Cricetulus griseus: one gene and its partner. The protein of the gene in region 1 purifies or fractionates together with the protein of each later gene. This does not show direct contact. Links are inferred from orthologs where the notes say so. Each region holds a gene or a part of one and is shown on either strand. Other genes may lie near its edges.

What was found. The genes of interacting proteins can lie anywhere in the genome.
Region 2: the proteins of Sin3b (region 1) and Sap30 purify together in Homo sapiens (affinity purification with mass spectrometry; 4 studies listed by BioGRID and IntAct, with this or other methods). This does not show direct contact. The link is inferred for Cricetulus griseus from reciprocal best matches to the Homo sapiens genes SIN3B and SAP30.

What each region holds. Positions count from the first base shown.
Region 1 is NW_023276806.1:247,446,216-247,449,860, reverse strand, and holds part of Sin3b (paired amphipathic helix protein Sin3b), read right to left. Parts: intron 2,971-3,645; coding exon 2,854-2,970; intron 462-2,853; coding exon 223-461; intron 1-222.
Region 2 is NW_023276806.1:235,757,364-235,761,694, forward strand, and holds the start of Sap30 (histone deacetylase complex subunit SAP30), read right to left. Parts: upstream 2,944-4,331; 5' UTR 2,644-2,943; coding exon 2,329-2,643; intron 772-2,328; coding exon 646-771; intron 77-645; coding exon 1-76. UniProt on the Homo sapiens protein: Involved in the functional recruitment of the Sin3-histone deacetylase complex (HDAC) to a specific subset of N-CoR corepressor complexes. Capable of transcription repression by N-CoR.

The sequences.
Region 1 (3,645 bases):
GTCTGGAGGGTCCCAGAACCACCCCCCCCAAAAGTGAGATTGCATGTCTACACCTGGAAACACAACAGGTGTCCAGGAGCGTGGCTGTCAAGACTTTGTTCAACACTAGAGTGGGAGGGGTGAGCTGGGGCCAGGGTCAGGTGACACCATTGGGCAGGAACTCTGGTAGCTCCCCTTTATAAAATGCCCTGAGTCAGGGAGGGAAGTAGAAGGTGGGAACACCTTTTCAGAACGACAGGCACAGCAGTGGCAGGGTTCCTCTTGAGGCTCTCGATGACCTCGGGGGCCTTGTCACCATAGATGCGGTGGATGGCACGGCGCTGGATCACCTCTGATGTGCCACCCAGGCAGTCATCCAGGCGGAGCTTCTCCTGGTCCTCAGGTGCCATCCTCGACAACTTCTTCTGCACACTCTCCAGCACACGGATGGTGGCCAGGTTGGTCTCCAGGACAACGTCTAACTGCAGGGAGGGGCAGGCAGCAGTGGTGTGTGAAGGTCATCATGGCAGTACGGGGGTGTGTGGAGCCAGTAAGTGTGGGAGAGGTGGACTCTGCTGATACCGAAGTGGCCCTACCACCTAATAGGGTGCTTGGGCACCACAGTGATCACCCACTCAGTGATATCATTTGTACTTTATACTCATTTTCTGGCTTTCTTATGACTTACTTCATTTTTAACTTTGCATCTATGTATAAGTGTGTGGGTATGTACAAGTGAGAATAGTACCCCTGGAGCACAGAAGGTGGTGTCAGACCCCTTGGAGCTGGAACCTGAACCAAGGTCTCTGCAAGAGAAGTCAGCACTTTTGTTGTTGTTGTTGTTTTTGCTTTATGTTTGAGACAGGGTTTCTCTGTGGCTTTGGAGGCTGTCCTGGAACTAGCTCTTGTAGACCAGTCTGGCCTCGAACTCACAGAGATCCACCTGCTGGGATTAAAGGCGTGCGCCATCACCACCAACGCCCAGCTGAGCAGTCAATCAGCACTCTTAACTGCTGAGTCCTCTCTCCAGTCCCTTTTTACTTTTTCATCTTTCTAAGACAGAACTTAGGCACTCCTCTTGCCTTTGTGCTGTGAAGAAGGGCATGTGCCCCACACAAAACGTACTTGTCTCTCTTGAAATGACGGAATAGTAGAGGGTGGGACAAAAGGGTGTTCACAGAGGAAGGGAAGGGAAGGGAAGGGAAGGGAAGAAGGGAAGGGAAGGGAAGGGAAGGGAAGGGAAGGGAAGGGAAGGGAAGGGAAGGGAAGGGAAGGGAAGGGAAGGGAAGGGAAGGGAAGGGGAGGGGAGGGGAGGGGCAGGCTGGGTGTGACTACTGATGATTAGAACAGCAAAGAGATCAGGGGGCTTGTGTGGCTTAGGCATTGAATCTGGTGACAGAATCACATAATACACAGACACACAGGCACGCTCACACGCGCACACACACGCGCGCACACAAACTTTCTGCTACAGTCTGACCTGTTCTTCCCAAACTCACACTGAAGTTTAGAGGTTGGTGTGGCAGTATTAACAGGAGGCCACACTTAGCAGAGGCCCATGACCCCAGCACATGGGAGGCAGAAGCAGGAGACCATACATTCCACGACAACCTTATCTTAAACACAGGACTTCAAAGAGGTGCTCTAGGCACAGCCTGTCCTCATGGGTGGGTGGCACTGCCCAGGAAGGGGAGACAAACCACAATCAGCCTCCTTTGTGTCCCTCCACTATGGACATCAAAGACAGGCTTCCCTGGATATGGGCCTTCACATTCCACTTCCCAGTGGTTGCCCTATCCATTGGACTCTTGTCGTAGCATCAGATAGAAACACATGGGGGCTGGAGAGATGGCTGAGAGGTTAAGAACACTGGCTGTTCTTCCAGAGGTCCTGAGTTCAATTCCCAGCAACCACATGGTGGCTCACAACCATCTGCAATGAGATCTGGTGCCTTCTTCTAGTGTGTGGTCATTCATGTATACAGAACACTGTATACATAATAAACAATCTTTAAAAAGAAAGAAAGACGGGCAGACATACACCTAGGAACTTGGGGTGGAGAATGTGTCATCCTAGCACTTGGAAGGCTAAGGCAGGAGGATCACAAGTCGTACACCAGCCTACACTACAAAGAGAGCCAATTTCATAAAGAAAACCAAGGGCTGGAGAGCTGGCTCACTGGCTAAGAGAACTGGCTGCCCTTCCAGAGGACCCACATGGTAGCTCATAACTGTCCTAAACTCCAGTTACAGGAGATCTTATGCCCACTTCTGGCCTCCATAGGCATCAGACATACATGGTGCAGATATACACGCAGACAAACACCCACACACATAAAATAAAACCCTTAAAGAAAACCGAATCAAAAAGAAGACGTGGACTCTGGGATAAGAAGGGTGGTTGTCTGTCTGTCCTCCAGAGGGGCACTCAGTGGGGTCTGAGAGCTCAGTTGCAATGTCAATAAATAAAGCTAACTTAATTTTAAGTTAACTAATTGTTTTTAGTTGATTATTTATCTAATTGTATTTTACGTATGAGTGCTCTATATGTATACCTGCACTCCCGAAGAGGGCATTAGATCCCATTATGGATGGTTGTAAGTCACCATGTGGCTTCAGGGAATTGAACTCAGGACCTCTGGAAGAGCAGCCAGTACTCTTAACTGCTGAGTCATTTCTCCAGCCCTGCATTATCTTTAGTTGAAAGAAAGGGGGTGGAGCTTAAGAGCTGGCAGAGCTGGTAAGCAGGGAGCTCTGGGAGGAGAGAGAGACTGAAGAACTGGGCCATGCTATGAAGGCACTAGGCTGGGTGGACAGATGGCAGGCAGGACAGGTGGTTGGGGTGTAGGTGGGTTAGACTCACAGCTTCACCTACCTCAAACCTCTCATCCTCACAACGATGCAGCTGCTCTTCATACGGAGTCTTCTTGGAGCTGACAAAGGTAGAGTCCTCAGACCAGGATGGGAAGGACACCCATGTGTCATTCAGGACCTGGACCAGAAGAGAGGAGTGTCACTAAGCATGCTGGTACAGACAACATGAGTAGCCATGCTCACAGCCAGTTACTTCCCACCACTCAGTGAGATTAACTCTCTAGATGCCAAGCAGGCTAGGGCTGTGGTACTGAATACAAGGCTGTGTCTCAGGGCCTAGCACCATCGCATGGTGGCCTTGAGCCACAAAGATTTTTTTTTTAAAGATTTTATTTATTTATTATGTATACAGTCTTCTGCCTGCATGCCAACAGAGGAAACCAGATTTCATTCAAGGTGGCTGTGAGCCACCATGTGGTTGCTGGGAATTGAACTCAGGACCTCTGGAAGAACAGTCAGTGCTCTTAACCACTGAGCCATCTCTCCAGCCCCAAGCCACAAAGATTTTAAGCTGTCTTTGAATATCCAACTTTGCCTTTGTCCTAAGAAAGTGGGCTGAGGCAATGTCCACAAAGGCATGCCAGTGTGCTTACAACACAAGTGGTGGATCCAATTTGCTTTGCAGTGCTCAGCAGATCCTCAGGCTATAAATTCTCTGGGCTTGAGTGGGACTCCCGAGTCCCCTCTTAAGAGAACTACCCACAAACCTGACTGTCCAAGGCTCACCTGAACACACATGGTGTTCTGGCTAGTTTTATGTCAACTTGACAGAAAGAAACTGTGAATATGTTTC
Region 2 (4,331 bases), about 12 Mb from region 1:
GGCCTGGTCTGGTTGGAAGCTTGAAGTGTCTTTTGTATCTTCTAAGTGTATTTACTTGTAATTGGTACAAATCAACCTAGAAAAAAAAAATTAAGATGTAACATAGTTCACTCTGCTGAAAAGATATCACTGATCTGTAAAGCAAAGGGCAATGTCCACTTCAGCACAAGAACAATTTCTTTTCCACAGTCAGATCTAGAGTTTATTAGTTTCACCTTTTGGGGATACATAGTGTAAGCTTTTAGAGGAAAAAAAAAAAGGAAGTTATAGGTCAAGGGCTACAAGAACTGTCACCTGAGATTTAATAGTAGTATAAATGCATGTTTTATTCTATTTACTTATTTATTTTTGGTTTTTCGAGACAGGGTTTCTCTGTGTAGCTTTGTAGACCAGGCTGGCCTGGAACTCACAGAGATTCGCCTGCCTCTGCCTCCCGAATGCTGGGTTTAAAGGCATGCACCTGCACCACCACCACCACCACCCAACCACCCGGCTAGTATAAATACATGTTAACTGATTGTATTTAATTTTGAGATTTGTCAGATGCTTTAAACATTTAAAACTTAATTCAAATATTTACATAAAGGCTTTGGAATTGCCAGCATGCTTATGATTTACATTTAACATAATAAAACTTTGCTCTACCTCTGGAGTATCGATGTCCTGAACAGGTGAGTCTCCTCCATCATCATCACTCCCTTTCCTCTTTCTTCTGTTTCGAACACTCTGAATTAAGTTTTTATGATAATCACAAATATAAAGATGTCTTGCCTGAAACAAAGTTTCATAGACAGTGAATACAGAACAATGCATCTCTGTGTTAGTAAAACACATAGGCCCAGATGAATGACTGAACAGTCTAAGCGGGCCACTGTTAAGACAATGTAACGTTCCTTTCCAAACCGGTTACCTGACTCTAACATTAGCAGTCTGGCAATACTGTTTGTGGGAGAGGGGAGGGGAAGGAGAGTGGTACCATGGGAGAAGGCAGGCAGACAGAGGAAGAGAAATTCCAACCCTCTGGGGTTTGTCATCAAATTGCATTGAGGATGACCTAAATAAATTAGCTCCCGTTGATTTTGAAGGTACAAGGGAAGAGGTGATAATTTTCTCTAATCTGAGAGCAGCAAATCATATTAATGCTCCTAATGTTAGGTATATGCTTCCTAATCTTACTAATTAGTCAAATTCCACACAGATACTAACTAGGCATTTTTACAAATGCGCTATTGAATTCATATCCTATGTTTAAATTTCAAGTACTAACATTTCTTTGTAAGAATTAAATGAATGTATTTATCTGTACTGTGTTGCTTTCAATTAAAGAACACAGAAATTATTCACATTCACTTGCAACATTTCTCATGGGTCCTACTGAAAAACGGCTTAAACAGAAACACAAACTTTTCAAACAATTACACAGGCATTTGAGAGTTACATAATGAGCGATTGGAAATACTGAGCTGATTGACAGTCTCCCCCTCCCCCCTTTAAGGCTACACAATTAAGGGCCTTTTAAATTGACTACTAAGCTAAGAGCAAGTTAAAAAATATACAGATGTGTGGAGGCTCTGTATCCTCTTCTTCATTTGCCACCAGCCAGAGCTCTGGAAAGTAGCAAAGGATCTCTCTGAAACCTCATAGCTGGCCCAAAGAGCAAACGTGCATAAAGACGGGAAAAAAAATCCCGATGGCTGCCAAGTGGGCTGTAAAACCACTGAGGATTATTTGCAGCCTCGGTTCGGAGCAGCTGCACGAAGAGCTGACACCGCAAACACCGTTTACAACCACCTCCCAGTAAGGCACTGGTGAGTTCGGCTTCCCTCTGCGTGTTCAAGAGAAACAATATCGAGGGGAATGCAGGGGGGAGATTTCCCTTCTCTGCGACGTGGGTTCCTGCCAGACTCGACTTTCCCTAAAGGAGCGGAGCTACTCCCTGGGGTCAGACGCTGGCTCGGGCAGCAAAACAAAGGCGCCTCCATTCCAGAGAAGGGGCTGCCCGGCTACAAGAAAACTACTCTGGGCTCTCGGTAACGCGGTTGGTTCCCTTTGTTTCGTTTCCAGATCGCAGCAAAGGAGGAAGAGGGAAGCCTGGAGTGGGAGAGACGCGAGGCGGCCGGAGTCGGGGTAGGGGCGGAGGGGACCTGCACCACTGCGCCAGGGCGCGCCGGGGGAGGTGGCCAGAGTTGCAGCGACTTTGTTTCAGTCGGAGAACCCACTAATCCCACCTGCAGCCCGGTCCCGACGACTCGTGAGCCTCCGCCAAGGACCGGGCTGGGCAAGCAGGGTAGGGCAAGGGCTGGGCAGGGCGGTCCCACTGCCACTTACACTCTTGTCCAGCTCGATCTTCACCTTCTTCTGCGAGATGCTCTTCTGGATCCTCTTGCTGAAGCTGGCGTTGCCAGCCGCGCGCCCGCACCGCTCGCCGTCCTCCCGCAGACAACAGAGTTGCCCGAGGCCCGGACCGGCTGCTCCGGGGGGACCAGCAGCCGATACCGCACCAGCACCGGGTACCTCTGCCCCACCGCCAGCCGCGTTCCCGTTCCCCGCCGAAGCGGCGGCAGCTGCAGCAGCGACCACCGCGGCCACGGCTGCGGCCGCGTCCCCGCTGCGGCTCATCTCCTCCGGAGTGAAGCCGTTCATGTCTGCCAGCTCGGGGGCGCCGGCGCCGCCACAGAGCCCCGCTCGCCGCGCCGCTCCGCCTCCTTCCCCGGGGCGGCCGTTCACTCCGCACCCCAAGTGTGGCGGCGGCACGGTCCGACGCCCAGAGTCCCGGGCCTGTCGGTCTGTGGGCGCTGGAATAGCGGCGGGTTCCTGGGACTGTGATCGGGAGTGGAGTGGCTCCTAAAAAGGGGACCCCACTCACTGTCACATGGAGACTTCAGCAGTTGGACCGCGGCTCCACCGCCTCCTTCCAGCCCCGGGACCTGCGCGAGTGAGACGCCCCTCCTCCGGCCCCGCCCCTCCACCGCCGCGCGGCCCCACGGGAATAGTAGTTCTCGGTCGCGGAGCCCACTTGCGCTCCGTTCTGATTACGTGCTGGACGAACTACTAATCCCAGCATACACCGCGCGGCCAGCCACCCGTGAGGTTTTTTTCTTTTTTCCATTCCAAGCACCGGGCAAATCCGAGTATGAGGTCAGGCTTTACTGTATTTTCTCGCCTCTTTTATCTCCTACGAGCAAGGGCTGTTTTTAGCTCCTGTTATTTCGTAAAGTTAGTGTTCAGACGGCCAGCCGACTCCTGGGAAGAAACATAAACAGTGCGTGTATGCGGTGGGGTACTAGGGAATAAGTGAGAAAAAGTTTGTGGGCTGTTTCTTCTTTATGGAAAACACTCGGGCGATCTGGCATTCGTTAGGCGCTGGGTCCTGCATCTCCATCTCCACGCCGCAGTGTACTTCCCGTGTGCCAACCGGTTGACAGGCGCCGGACTGCTGCTTGCCTCTGCTGCCCTGGACTTCCGCGCAAACGGATCCGAGAGGGGAGGGGTTTAAGAACCTTTAAAGGATCCCCACTGCCACCAGGTCTGCAGGACTGCTCGGAAACTTGGCAGCGCTGGCCGTAGGGGACGAGGAGAGAAAAACCTCGTTTCTTGAGTCATACACATGCGTACATGTATGCTTGTATGTGTCGCGGGTGGGTGGGTGCGGGAGCGCGGGAGCGCGCCTGGGTACGTGTTTGTGCTCGCGTAGGCGTGTATTCCTGCCTGAGCCTGCGGTGGGAGGGGTGGGAGGATGGGCGTGGTCATGCTAATTATTGGACTGTTTAGCTATCCCAATGATTAAAGGAAAATAATGTATTTCAGGTAGAGGAGTTTTGAAAGAAAGCCGTTTTAGACTTAGTCGATTTACTAACAGATTTAGGACAGATTCACGGAGAAACTCAAAGCTGCCCGTGTTATCTGTGAATTTCTACTCTCATACAGCCGTGAAAATTGGTGAATACATTTTTATTATTTAAAATGGTCATTTTTCTCTCGTACTTGTTAAGTTATAAGTTAATATATTTAATCAAATACTAGAAAATTCTAGGCTCTCATGCCTTCCCATGCCATTTCTTCCATCTCTGGGACTCCAATTCAGTATATGTTAGGCCTCCTACTGTACTCTTTGTGTTTCCTACCTTATCTTCAGTGGCTATGTTTTGTTTTAAATTTCCATTGGATTCTTTTAACCTACACTTAGTCATACATTCTCTATTTAGGTGTGCCCACTCTGCTCTAAAATTCACCCATAGTTTTTTGGGTTTTGTTACACTTCTTAGTCTTATAATTCCTATGTTTTTTCCCCCAGATCTTAAATGTCACCAATTTTCCAATCCACTGACAAA